2 linked regions of the Styela clava genome follow. The protein of the gene in region 2 purifies or fractionates together with the protein of the main gene of each other region. This does not show direct contact. Links are inferred from orthologs where the notes say so. Each region holds a gene or a part of one and is shown on either strand. Other genes may lie near its edges. The genes, in order: BRCA2 and CDKN1A-interacting protein-like and eukaryotic translation initiation factor 6.

Region 1 (7,707 bases), on a different chromosome or scaffold from region 2:
TTAATTATGAACTGTTACGAGTATCAGACGGTGGACCGATTAAGTGATTATGTTGCATGTTCTCGTGTGTTAGGTTAAAATGCGTTTTTAGTTTCTTAAAGCCATAATTTTGGTTTCAATAAATAAACTGTCACAACAGTTTATTTCCAACCAGGAGAGACTGGCATTTATCGAAAGGTACAACACAAAGTTGCACCATTTGAAAGGACACAAAATTATGGGTTGAAGAGGTGCGATTAGATTTTTGTATATTTATTCCAGAGAGGACAGTAGAAAAATGGCTGAATGTCCAATTGCATTGCTCTCTCAATATTTATCAATCACACTAAATGAATTATATTCAAGCAAATTTTATCAGTTCAAGTTTCAAACATGGCCAGATAAAAAATTATGCTCTCTATTATCTCGTGACTAACATTTTGATTATCTTGTGACTGACATTAACATTTTGAAACACTGATATAACCCAGGTTGAGCGGGGTTTTTGAACCAGGAGGCCAAAAATTTTGCCTATTTAGACTGGCGGGCCATGTAAGTGTGACATGAAAAGTTATATTATATTATGAACATTAAATTTACAGTGTTCCAAACGCGTAACCCTAACTAAATTTAAACACAATCTCAACAAATTCCTTGAGCTAATTTTTTAGTAAAACAAGATTTGGTTTTTAGTTTGGTTGTGGCAATTGTCAAAACAGATTTGGGATTTCAATAACAACAACTACATAGTGCATGCATAATTGTTTGAATGCAGAAGTTTATGGCATCATCAGGCAGGCCAGATTTGGCCTGCGATCTGTAGTGTTTGCCAATGTCAGATCTAACCCTTAAAAGCCCCACCTTCAAAATCGACTTGAATTTCTTCATTAATTTCCATATTTTCATCTCCCTCTTGCTCCTCATCTGATCCCATATCTTCTACTATACATTCTTCATCACTACTTTCATCTTCAGGACGAGGCTTCTTTGGGTCTGCCATCTGTAAGAGGAAAGAGTCATAGTTTACTATATTAGCACAGAAAAATGGTCTTCTTCAGGTACTACCGTAGTGTGTGTGACAGGTAAGGGATAAATAGATAGGATAATTTGATTCGAAATTCCTCATTTTATTTCTATTTGGAGTTCTGTGACTGTCTGTGTTAGCCACACAATATTGGTAGGCTACACACACTTCTGAAGCACCCTTCTTCATACGGCAAAAATCGAGCCAAACTATTCAAGTACCTATACTGAAATGACAGACAAAAGTTCTCTTTAGAAGTAATCCTTCAAATAGCTTTTTTATCCACTCAGGCAAACGAGCACAATAAACAAAATATAAAAATTAAATGACGTACAAAATGGCAGTTGGACCTTCTATTCAGTGGATAGCATACCATAGTTGCAATATAAGGATGTCCAAAAGTTTTTGGATGATTTCATGGTAATACCAATTAATAATTTTATTTGTTCATTACGGTAATAGTTCTTGTAGCGGAATATGCTTGTGGTTCCCATTTATCATACAATAAAAGTGTTTTAAATTTCACTACTATAAAGTCAGGGGAAATTTTTTGGACATTATGTAAGAACACCAAAGACAAAATTAGGCAAAATGTCAGTGTGAATAATTAGAAACAAGTATGGCACAGACTGAATATAGCACACCAGGTCAAAAGGTGATTGAATTCCACATTTCGCCTCTTCCCTAATTTACATACCTTTTATGAAGTCTTGGATGTAGAAGAAGTCTCACTAGATCCAACCAATGTGAGTTTGCTGTTCTTACCTGCTTGTAAGACAATCTCCTTTTCTATTTTCTTATTAATTTCAACTTGAAGACCCTGAGAATTGAAATTAGGAATGTCACACAACTTGAAACCATTCGAGACAACACTGTTAGGGTAACAGCCAAGCAATTCCACAAAATAAGCCACAAACCAAAAAATAATGCTGTAAGTTCATAAGTTGGTCAAAGACAAATTATTGAATACAAAGTGGATCTTTAGATCGTTTTGTTATTATTGTTAGTATTTTTCGTCTTGTTGTATTTATTGTAGTTGTAAAATATCACTACCATATCGCTCCCTCCAGTCTTTACCACAAAACAGCGTCCATTTATTTGTATGTATCAATGCACGGCTTGCACGCCTTCACATTTACATTTCTTTTGGTTCGTAAATAAATAAATTTATCTACCTCTATCGGACCTATTGCTTTGAAATTTTTAGTGGTTAAAAACTGTTGTTTTCGATGGAAGGCTATTACTTCCATTTATTTCAAAAATTTCTATGGGGTTCGCTTTGGACTTTTAAGTTTTGTGTAATGACGTCATCAAAATTGAATATTACTCAAGTCGGGCGGGCCTGTGATCTCATCTCAGCGATCTGGTGGTCAGTCTACTGGTACCAAACAAGTATCAAAAGATACCCGGGCTCAGTAAAGTTATAGGTTGAGCCAAATTTTACAAAGTTACTGAAACTGTACTAATTGAGTGTTGAAATAGCATTATGAATTATAATGAAATACTACACTGAAAGTTATATGTGTTGTAGCTTTTAATTCACACTAAACATCGTACCTTTTTAAGCTGAGCAGATTGGATTGCCCTTGCTTTTTTAGGTTTTATCACTCTTCCTGAAAAACAGTAAAATCGTTATAGTTCCCTTTTTAAATAAAAATTGCTCAAATAAAAAAAAACACACAAATTCAACAAGATAATGTGCAGTGATTCAATAAAACACTGAATAAGATTCAAATCTGTATATATTTTTCAACCAGAGCGCCGCAGGAAAGGCAGGAGGATATAATCCGGTATAACTTCGCCTACCAGTTAGAAAAGCACCAGGCAAAACTGCGAAAGATTTAACGCAGCGACAAGAGCAAAGAACATGTATTTTTACCCAAGGTGTGCGCCTCTTCAAACATAAACTGTCGGGTCAGGATTTTATGCTTGATGGGGAAAACCTGAGTGTTGACAAGGCCCACAATAAATCTCTTGGCGGGCCGGGTTGGGGACAAAGGGCCACCTGTTGCCTGACATTGTACAAGTAAAATCCTCACCTCCCTTCTTTGGTCCTTTATTCTTTTTATGATTTACTTTCTTCTGTGAAGCTTTTGGTATTTTCACTTTTGTTTTGAGTTTACCTTGAGGCATCAGGCACAATAACGTGAATTAAGACTAAATTCTAGATCTGAACTAGAAATATAGCAGAAAGAAGAAAGGTTGAAATAAAGTAAACATATACAAGAGAAATAAACTAACAATGCAGCCATGGGTGGGTTAAGTGAATGATATAAATAAATTTTAATTCAAACTATTTCAGAAAAAGTTTTAAATGTTTGTCTTCTACAAATTACCAATTTTCGAGTCGTGAAGAAAAATTTTACTGGAAGTAAAATTAAATAACGATTTCCAATAAAGGAATAAAATTGCGAAAAAAATCCCAATAAATACACTCTACACATGCCTGGCATTTTATTGATCAACAAAAAGCATATGAAACAGTCCAGTCATTACTGTGAGCGGTTAATTATTAATTAATAATAATTATAGCGGCGTTGGCTTGGTCAAAGTGAAAAATGAAACATACTTCTTTGACAGGTGAGTGAGAAGACTTAAAACATTTTCATTCCCCATCTCCACAAATTTTGGGAAACAAAATAGAAAACAAAATCGAAACGAAAGATATATTATATAACGTTAGCAATACACAGTTAGGTAAACCGTTTTGACCGCTAGGAAATAGAGCCTGTGAAACATTGAATTGGAATACTTGTTTTTGAAAGAAGGAATCCAATTTTTACAAATACAAATATACTATAATATTACAAATACATTGTAAACTTAACTGTTATTAATAAAAATCAACAAAAACAAAACAATTTTTTTACGGTGTTAATAATACACACTACACAGTTAAGTCTGATCTAGCGTTTTAACGCAAGGCCATCAAACTGTCAAAGCTATTACGTGAAATTCATGATATTGAATAAAAGAATGAAAATTGACAAAGACAAATGGATAATACTCTCCAGCCTCTGCACCCAACAAAAATACATTGAAACTGTGTCATTACTGTGCAACAACGGACTATAAACAAAGTAAGCAATACCGTATTTTAGATATTACGGATTTCTTCTGAACTAGCAGTAGATGTTATGAAACACAAGAGAGTTCTTATTTACAGAATGTTGGAATAATCACAGTTTTAACATCGAATTCCATCCTCACCCAAGGCGAAATAAATTGGGCATGCATTTCTAAACCAAAAATATTAGAAGACTGAGTAGTAGTTAGTCTCGAAAAAACCCAATCGATAGCACAAAAATATTGTATCTATAAACAATAGTGGCCCAGACAAGTAGTACAGTTCCTTCTTTTGAATAAAAATTTGATTTATCTTAACATTGTCAATAAATTGCTTAATTTGGGTCTTATTCACACATAGGCACATCATACTATAAGACACAGTGACTTTCAAAGCATACCAGTACTGATTTCAAGTGGCAATAAAGCAATACATGATCCGAACATCTGGCGCACCAACTCATAAGGCACATGGTTAAATTTTATACTAAATTCTACATCCAAAACCATATATCACAATATTTCAGTGAAAAATTATCAATTTATTTATATTATTCAAAATATCCCAAAATTTCGCAAAACACAAATATTTAGATATGAGCATCCATAATTACATTGTACCAAATATTTTTCTCAAACAGTGGATCGAAGACAATTTTTAGTACTCTTGAAGTATGTGAACCAAGATAACGGACACCGGAACGTAGTATGTGTACCAGGTTAGGGTTGAGTCATAATTTTATTCCAATTTTCCATATTTTAGTTCTATTACGAATTAGGGGACTAGCCAAGTGACTCCAGTAGTATTTGTACCTAAAACTATGGCCTAACCCATGGTTCACATACTTCGGGAGTAACCATTTGTTTAAGTGAGCGTTGAGCTTATTAAAAATCAAAATATTTGTTAGATTATTATGTACACGTATTTTCAACAAGTTTCTGAATAAAACATACTTTCGCTTCACTATCTGTTATTTGTAGGTTATTGTTAGCTGGTTCTTGAGTTGGGGCACGGGACTTGACAAACCCTAAAAAGGGGGCGCGCTTAAAAAGTTTGAGAACCATCAAAAGGCATCAAAAATTCTCAACTTAGTCGGTTATCTCTAGAAATCGTTCCTGAACTGGCTCCTCGCTTAATTGCGTTTCCTTATTCACAAAGCTTTCTCCAAATTGTATTTTGACGTGTCTTTTCTCTTTTCTTTGCTGTTGTTTATAGATTAACGTGGAGATATCAGTGCATTGTATCTGAACATGTCTCTTTTCTTTCAGATGTGATTCGTACTTGAAGTATCTTCCAGTATCACTTTTAATGTAGACAGACACTTCTGCATTTGTTATCACTGCTAAACGTTTAGCCTGTGAATATGAATTAATAAAGAAATATTAAAACAGAATTGAGTATTCACATTGATTCTAATTTAGTTGAATTTATTCATTCTGTGGCCGCAATAGCCTAAAGCAGTGATTGGCAAACTGTTGGTCCCTAAGTATTTTCTAGTGGGCCCTTAATAAATCCTAATTCAATTCAAAAAGTTACACAAATCCAACAAACTGTTTTTTGTTCATATATCATATTTCGCCATAGGAAATCTTGCCATAAGAAACTTCGCCACATACTCACTATTTATTAGGAACATACCCTGACCCTAACTGTTTTGATCGCAAATACTTTCTTTACAGCAAAATGCTCTTGCGATTTTTCCTATGTGGCAAAATTTTATGTGGCGAGATTTCTCACAGCGAATTTTCCGAACATGAGAGTCGAATAATCAAATTGATTCTAATTTAATTGAATTTATTCATTCTGTGGTCGCTATGGCCTAACGCAGTAGTCTGCAAACTGTGAGTCGCCAAGCATTTTTTAGTGAGCCTCCAATAAATTTCAGTTGTAAGCAGTGATACACAGAAAAAGTTTCCTAAATCCAACATAATATATAAATTTTTTGCCAACTTTTTTTTGTTCATATATCAAATGATCATTCTGTTATCTGCAACAACAATATCAGGGTGAGTGAACAAGCTCTTTTGATGTCCAGATGCAACAGAATCAAGACATATCAAATTTGTTATTAGGCCTTGCAACTTTTCCCATTTCAATATTTGGGCCTCGCTTAAAAAACTTCGCCGACCGTTGGCCTAATGGTTAATAGCACTGTGTTGGCATCACACGTTAGAAAGATACAATTGGTTGAAATTTTTACATTCTACATTCTATTTAATGGCCAATGTGAAAAAATGAGAACAAGATAAGCGATATTTTTCCAGAGACTAGCAATATGGGATTAGCGTAAGAAAGGCAAGATGGGGTTCACTGTGAACTCGATTTTGATCCAGAAACTAGGGATATGGTTTTTTACAAAATGTCGAGTAGGCCTACTAATCCTCAATTCAATATTGGCCGTCCATGTGACGGATTTGTAGTTATGTTTTGAGCTAGGCATTCCACCCAGAGTAAAATAAATTGGTAGGCAATGACAAGAAGTGTCTGGCGCTTCCAAAGACTGTTAGTAAAGATTTACATATTTCAGTGGACGGCTGTACAGGACCTGGCCGAAGGAGTTGAGGAAATTGCATGAAATACCCTGCAACAATGAGAGCGGGTAACAATGTTCTAACACATAATTATCTCTTATCAACATCAATCACAGGACTCAACGCAACATAAACAGTAGCATAATACGGTTCGGGGTATACCATTTTATTCAGAATTTCATTATTTTAGTCTTATTTCGAGTTCGGGACTTCGTGTTAGCCGAGCAAATATACCCCCTGCCCATAGACTTCAGTCCCTTTACACAACTTGATGTAAAGTAGGCGAACAAAATTATTTACCGGTACCTCCATGTTGGTACACTCACTTCTGGAGCGCCCAAAATACACTAATCATCAAACTCGTAAATAATACACTAATCATCAAACTCGTGAATATGTATGAACATTTGTAGTTACTGTATGACTGATTTTCAACGTTACCTGGTTAAGCACAGTATTTTTTCTCCTAGAGAATGTTTTCTGTCGTAACCTTCTATTATGTTGATATGTTTCTTGTATAGGTCCAGAGTGATGAGGTTTTCTAGGCTTTTCGTTTGAATCAGACTCAATGTCAACTTCTTCAATTTCTGCTGATAAAAACATGAAAATAAGATGAAACAAGGACATCCAAAACCAGTTGAATGTTCAAATTGATTGGCAATTAGTTATATTAGGTTAGGCGTAGGCGCGTAGCCCACAGGTACCTCACAGAAGCGTGTATCTGAACCATTGTATTGGGAATATAAGCTTTATATTATACAGTAATTCAATTCCTCATTTTTTACTTGGAAGCATTTGGAGTAAAATGTCGAGCGACATTATATATTCACTACAGCACCATAATCATTGATTAAAGATTTTTGAGGGGACAACTACCTCATCTGGCGAAATACAGATTTGCAAAAACGAGAATTAAAACTATGATATGAGGGTTTCAAATTAATTTTAGAAATAGAATTAAAAAAAAATTATAAGTTGATAAGAATGTATTTTTTGTAAAGAGTAATACAAAACTTTAAATCTGAAATAAATAGATGGTTAGCACACTTGGTTAGAGGCACTAAACTTTCTGGTAGCTTCGGCTATATATAAATAAATCATAACAG
Region 2 (6,159 bases):
ATGTGATCCTTCCAAGTCGTTATTACATAAATAATAAGATACGGACCGCAACGCTGCAGAACAAAACTCAACTTAAACGCGTGGTTTTGTACAAAGACTTGTGATAGAACTAATCAAATAATAGCTATTAAGTTATTACTGCGAGCAGGTTTTCTACACGAAAAATCCACGCGATCGGATGCTTAGGACCATCTATGATTAACTCGCCAGTCTCCAGTGGAACATAGCTTATGACTAAAGCAGATCTCAAAGTGACAAAGAACAAATTCAATATCGAAAGTAAAAAGTGTCAAAATGTTCATTAACCCACTAAATTTCTTCATCCTTAAAGCACCGTCGCAGATAACAATACATCCCCAGTGACATATGTACAGTGTCTAGTACGGGACATTGTAAGACAACATAAGTGATCTGGTAATGCGAATTGTTGGTTCAGCCACCCAAGTCGCGGGTTGTGGCCCCTTACCCACTTCCCCTCCAGAATACATATAGAATCAAGTTTGGATGTTAATGCATGAATAACAAGAAACATATGGATTCACCAGAGTCTTTATTGAGCAATTGCTATCATTTTCAACTTTGAATAACACACAATCAACTTGGTCTACGTACCTATAGAAACCGTTACCAAGAAGGGGTTAGTTCGAGCTTGATCACTTAAATTTATGAATGTTCTCAAAAGTTCAATAATTGAAGTTACGATTTTATCTCCTGTAATTGTCAGTCAAATCATTACAAGCTGAATGCTTTCCAATTTATGATACATAGTACCTAATCGATCAATTTAAAATATGCGGCATTGCAATTTGAAATGCATTACAGATAAATCTTGAAAAAATAAGTCAACTACAATCTCATCCTAAAAGTTACTCAGACTTTTTATCAGTCCCAATCATATTATTACAGCCAAGGTCCAGGTATTTAAATTTTGCCAACAAATGCAACGAGCGTGGAACTTATCTGCTGTAGTATTATCCATACTGATTATCAAGATGCCCGGTGAAAATTGCATGTTTTGCATATATACAATTGGATTTACAATAGCCAGTGTATAAAATGCAGTGGCTCATAGACATTAGCTACTATACAATTGTGTCAATTAATGAATCTCTTATTTGTGTGGTGAGTGCACTACTTTGCTGATCACCAAGTTTGAAAACGCTGTCAATAACAGATAATTCTGTACTTGTTGTGTCAAGGCCACAAAAAGCAAACCAGTCATTCACAACCATACCACCTCCGATAACATCACTGCCTCGATTTACTGTGCCAGCCACAAGCGGGATTTGTAATAAAGATGATAATTCGTCTTGATCTCCAGATGAAGTTTTAGAATGTACCAGGCCACCTTGATTGGTGAAGCAACAATAACTCCCAACTAGAACCTGCGTCGCAACAGTTTGACGAAAAACTTCAACTTTCAATACATCTGCAAGTATTTCTTCAGTTTCTCTATCCAAATCTGGATGCACAAGCGCAACATAGTCATTGCATGAAATAACATTTCCCAAAGCAGATAATCTTTCTTCTACCCTTTGTATTTTCACTGAATCTGGAAGACAGTTTCTGATATGCTGTAATTCTTGATCTGTCGTTGAGTTAGGAACCATGAGTCCATGTTTGTTACCAACACACATCCGTCCGATGATTCTGCAGCCGGCAATAGATGCATGAACGACTGGTATGGTGTCAGACAATTCTGACTCAAAAACACTATAAAAATTCTCCGATCCGCCGATTGCCACTAAACAATAGGTATTTGTTAATTTGGCAAAAACTCCAACTTCGTTGTTTTTCTCAAATTGTGCACGAACTGCCATTGTTCCACTACTGTCGATTGATGAGATTTATTATACTTATTTATATTTAAAAGTTATAACAAGCTTTTTAAAAAAGAAACACATACACAACCTTCATACTAAAGAATATTCCACTGATAATTAGGATGGAAGGACAATGTACCTATATCAGTATATATTAGAGATGAGTATCATAAAAACTTTTTATTACTATGGATCAAGAAATTGAAAGCGTGTATTACTGAGCATCCTGTGTAAGGAATCCATTTTGAAATTATACTATTTTCAGGGAAGCCCAAAACCTTAAAAGGTAAGATAAGTAGTGACATTGGGAAATTTGGTCTTACTGTTGCAATATACAGATATAGATAAGATTTGAATATTCATCTCGTATATATTTAATTTTTAACTGAATGCACAATATATTGATGAACTAAGCTACAACTCGATACAGACAGACAGTGAAAGCCAATAACAGCAATATGTGTACTGGTATCGCCTATATCAGTATATATTTATGTTCTACCAAAAATGAATGCAGAGAATTACAGAATTATGCGCCATGAATCTCTGGCAGTTTTATAGTTACCAATACCATGGTTGGTTGATTTTAGAGGATTTGGATACTAGGTAACGCAAATAAGAGTCAATAAATTTTATTACTAGATTTGGTATTAAATAAGTTACCGGTAACTCTGTAACTAGACTATAACTTGAGAACTTAGGCTACCTACTGCAGTAGGACAGGTAGGGTGGGTTTTCATGGTCTGATGTCTGTAGTCTATAATATGGTCTGACGGTACGGTACCGGTAGACTACCGGTACCAGGTACTGTCAGACTGTGGTACGGTAATACATTACCGGTACCGGTAGTGTACCGGTAATAAGTCTGTAAGGTGAGGATTTATTTTATCACAGTTCAGTTAATTCTGTAATTGTCTATTCTGTCTAGCCTATTACAGTATTATGGAAACTAATACCAGAATACCCGTACTGTAATAGACAACTTTAATATTACAATTTGGCCGGATACCGGTACCGGTACCGGTACCGTATGCCAATCCAACCATGTACCCGCACCGCACTACAGTCACCACGACCCACCACTTCCCAAAATTATTTGTTCGAAAGTTCCGCAGTGGCTTAACCACGCTCAACCTATACCGGGTATATTTCTGTAGGTAGAAATCACATGAAAGCACAGGTAGCCAAATTCATATTTGCAATCCCAGAATACCACACCGTACCGTAAAAGCGCCTAACTTCGGACAAAATTACTATATTTTCGTCAATAACTCGGCCATTTATTGTCCAAACGGTACCAAAATTGCTCGGTAAAACATTCGTGCGGTAATTTACATTTCCTGCAAATTTCGGTTCAATTGGACTATTTTTACTATTGAAATAATCGATATTTCTTGCCATCTGACCGTTATCCTTCACTGCCCTAACTTCGGACAGTCATTTTCGTCACTGCGTAACCGCGACGCACAGAGAGAAAGAGGCTTCCGATGCGGATAGCGTAATCACGTCGTTGCGTGAAGATAAGACGCTCGATCGTCGTCGTAACGTAACATTGACGTCACGACGAAAATGCATTATTTGAAACTTCCGTCGTCCTATGTTTACATCTTTCGTTCGTTATTTTCGATACTTCAGATGAGTATAATAACACGTTAGTCATTTTAATCAGGAAATGCATACGTAAATATATCTGATGCAAACCGTTTCAATCCACAATGAAGTATTTTAACGGGCTTCTATCGAAGTCTTTGAAGTATTAATATTCTCGACGGATAGCTTGGTATATTCTGCGCGGTTATCTTTATAAGTGATAATTTATATCAAACACACGGTGAATCCGATTGTAAAGTTTAATTTGAAGTTCAACTTAATTTCGTTAACATATAATTCCCGTTTATTTGTTAGAGATTAAATTAATTTGTAACTTCGAGTGAATAAAATTCACCCAGGCCGTATTCAATAACTGTCATTTCGACTACTAATCATAAAATAATTGTTAAGTCAGTACACTGTGCCATACGGACGTTTGATTCTTTACAGTTTTATATATTCGATTTTTAACGTCATCGATTAAGTATGACATGTATTTTCATTAATGTAATTTTGGCATATATTCACACATGGACCGAACAAAATACAAAAATATTACATTTGGAACGCCGTCTTTATCTTAACGAAAATTGTCATATTGGCGCCGTTGTGTCTGGCGTCAAAATTCATTTCCGCGACGCAGTGTGACGTCGTGTCGGAAGTGAGCGAAAAAAAAATCTACGTGAGGTTGACGTAACTTTTGACGCTGCGTGAAATCTTAATATTCTTACGGAATTTATAATTCAGAATTTTAGGTTTTATTCAAATCTCGTACGACATCTTGCGATCACTCAAATAAATTATATACATTGTTATCGCCCTCTACCGAATGATGGTATTTTGACGATGATAGCTTTAGTAGGAGCGACGCTCTGCGCCGTTGAATGACGGGCAGTCAATTTTCGGCAAAATTGCCGTTTTTGTACCAAAAAAATTATAATGCCACATTAAAAAGGATCAGAATAGATGTAGATATAACAGCGCTACCTATAATAATTGAAATTAGCAATATAGGGCGCGTTTTAGCCAAGATATGGCCGTTCAAAAATTTTGTCCGAAGTTAGGAACTGTCCGAAGTTAGGCGCTTTTACGGTACCTCACTAAGCAAACATTCTTGGTTGAGGCTGAAGCCAATGTGGTGCAATGGGGGTTCATGACCTAGGTGCTCGGAGTCAAATAGGATTATGTATGTATGTTTATTGGTCTCAAAAATGTAACAGTACCTGCATAATAAATAAACAGTAAAACAGAGAAGGGATACATGTTCAAGACCTTACTGGCGTAAGACACAGATGTGCGACATGTACCCCTAACAATTATAACAGCAGTTTAGGACCGCTGCGTTATACTAGGACAACAGACATAAAATAGACCAGGGCTACTCAACTAGTTTTACCGAATATTCGCATTCAAAATTTCAAAAATATTTGGGTCCGGTCTTTCCAGAAATTATATTTCGACATCCTTGAAAGCGCACTTCCTCGGCCGACTAATGGTTATTTTATTAGCTAATTAAGATCGTTTAAATATGGCGTTATAGTTGTTCGTTTCGTATATTTTTAAGTCTATAAAAGTGATTTTATAAAAGTAAACTTCAAAAGCGGAGCTGATGATCCTAAATAAAGAATTAGGCTCGGTCCAAATCGAATACCCTAAAGGTCCGGATGCGAAACGCGGTCCGCCAGTTGAGTAGCCCTCAAATAGACTACAGACATGGAATTGACTATACAAATAACAATACAAAGAGGTACGGCACAACGACGATATGTACAATAGTCAGTTTATGGCACGTCCATGTCCCAGTTTCCGGTGTGACAGGATGAAGAATTTAGGTTTATTTCGACTCCATAATCATTGTAAACAGGTAAAGGACGATAAAATATTGGATAAAACAAATAAAAAACTGATTACAGAATCATGAGAGGAAACATATCCTCGAGTAAGGTTAAAAACGTACAGAATTTCAATTGAATGGTGTTGCCAAAAGAAGTGGTACGTTTCACTCACCTGAAAATGTAAAATTAATCCACATACACTCACGCGCTCCCACACATCCATACATGCAACCGTAAATATATAATACAACCACAGAATTAAAATAAAAAAGAAAAATAAACTAAGGTAAACCACTCAGGAAAACAAAAAGAAAAACCAAAAAAAGATTATTTGCCACATCATATTAGTATTTTTTCTATTAATAACAACATCACATTATATAGATACAATATCACATAATACATTTATATAGACCCAATAACAATTGCATTTTAAATAAACGAGCACATGATAGTTTTCCACTTCACTTATGGGTTGACAGTTTGCCATTTTTAGTTGCAATAATCTTTTCACAGTTTATAGTATTTTTTTATCATATATAAAAATTGGCAAAATTGAGGCCTTTTATTACGCAGTTTACATTTGTATAAAAAATATTTAGCACACAATAAAACACAATTTAAACCCTGGTCTTGCCCTACCCCCAATAACATGTCTCTATGTGTCAAATTAAGGTTTAATCCATACTCAACGGTTAGCCAAGCGTTGACTATTTCCCAAAATTGCTGCACAATATCACGGAGATAAAATAATAAAATATATCGCCAAACTGATTATATATAGTTGGAGCCTTTCAATCGCCTAACCAGACTCCCCACAGGTTGGAATGCATAGAGAAGTGGGCTAAACCATTCATTCTTGGTTAGCCAATTTATATTAAGCGTTTAAATGTTATCACTACAAGTAATTA

Evidence for each region.
Region 1: the proteins of eukaryotic translation initiation factor 6 (region 2) and BRCA2 and CDKN1A-interacting protein-like purify together in Homo sapiens (affinity purification with mass spectrometry; 3 studies listed by BioGRID and IntAct, counting the BioPlex papers as one, with this or other methods). This does not show direct contact. The link is inferred for Styela clava from reciprocal best matches to the Homo sapiens genes EIF6 and BCCIP.

The regions. Positions count from the first base shown.
Region 1 is NC_135252.1:20,952,381-20,960,087, reverse strand, and holds the start of BRCA2 and CDKN1A-interacting protein-like, read right to left. Parts: upstream 3,181-7,707; 5' UTR 3,043-3,180; intron 2,617-3,042; 5' UTR 2,561-2,616; intron 1,824-2,560; 5' UTR 1,701-1,823; intron 980-1,700; coding exon 841-979; intron 1-840. Other genes in the region: uncharacterized protein LOC144411649, read right to left, coding at 5,159-5,425, 7,043-7,191. UniProt on the Homo sapiens protein: During interphase, required for microtubule organizing and anchoring activities. During mitosis, required for the organization and stabilization of the spindle pole.
Region 2 is NC_135258.1:18,963,253-18,969,411, forward strand, and holds eukaryotic translation initiation factor 6, read right to left. Parts: upstream 1,907-6,159; 5' UTR 1,821-1,906; coding exon 1,083-1,820; 3' UTR 534-1,082; downstream 1-533. UniProt on the Homo sapiens protein: Binds to the 60S ribosomal subunit and prevents its association with the 40S ribosomal subunit to form the 80S initiation complex in the cytoplasm. Behaves as a stimulatory translation initiation factor downstream insulin/growth factors.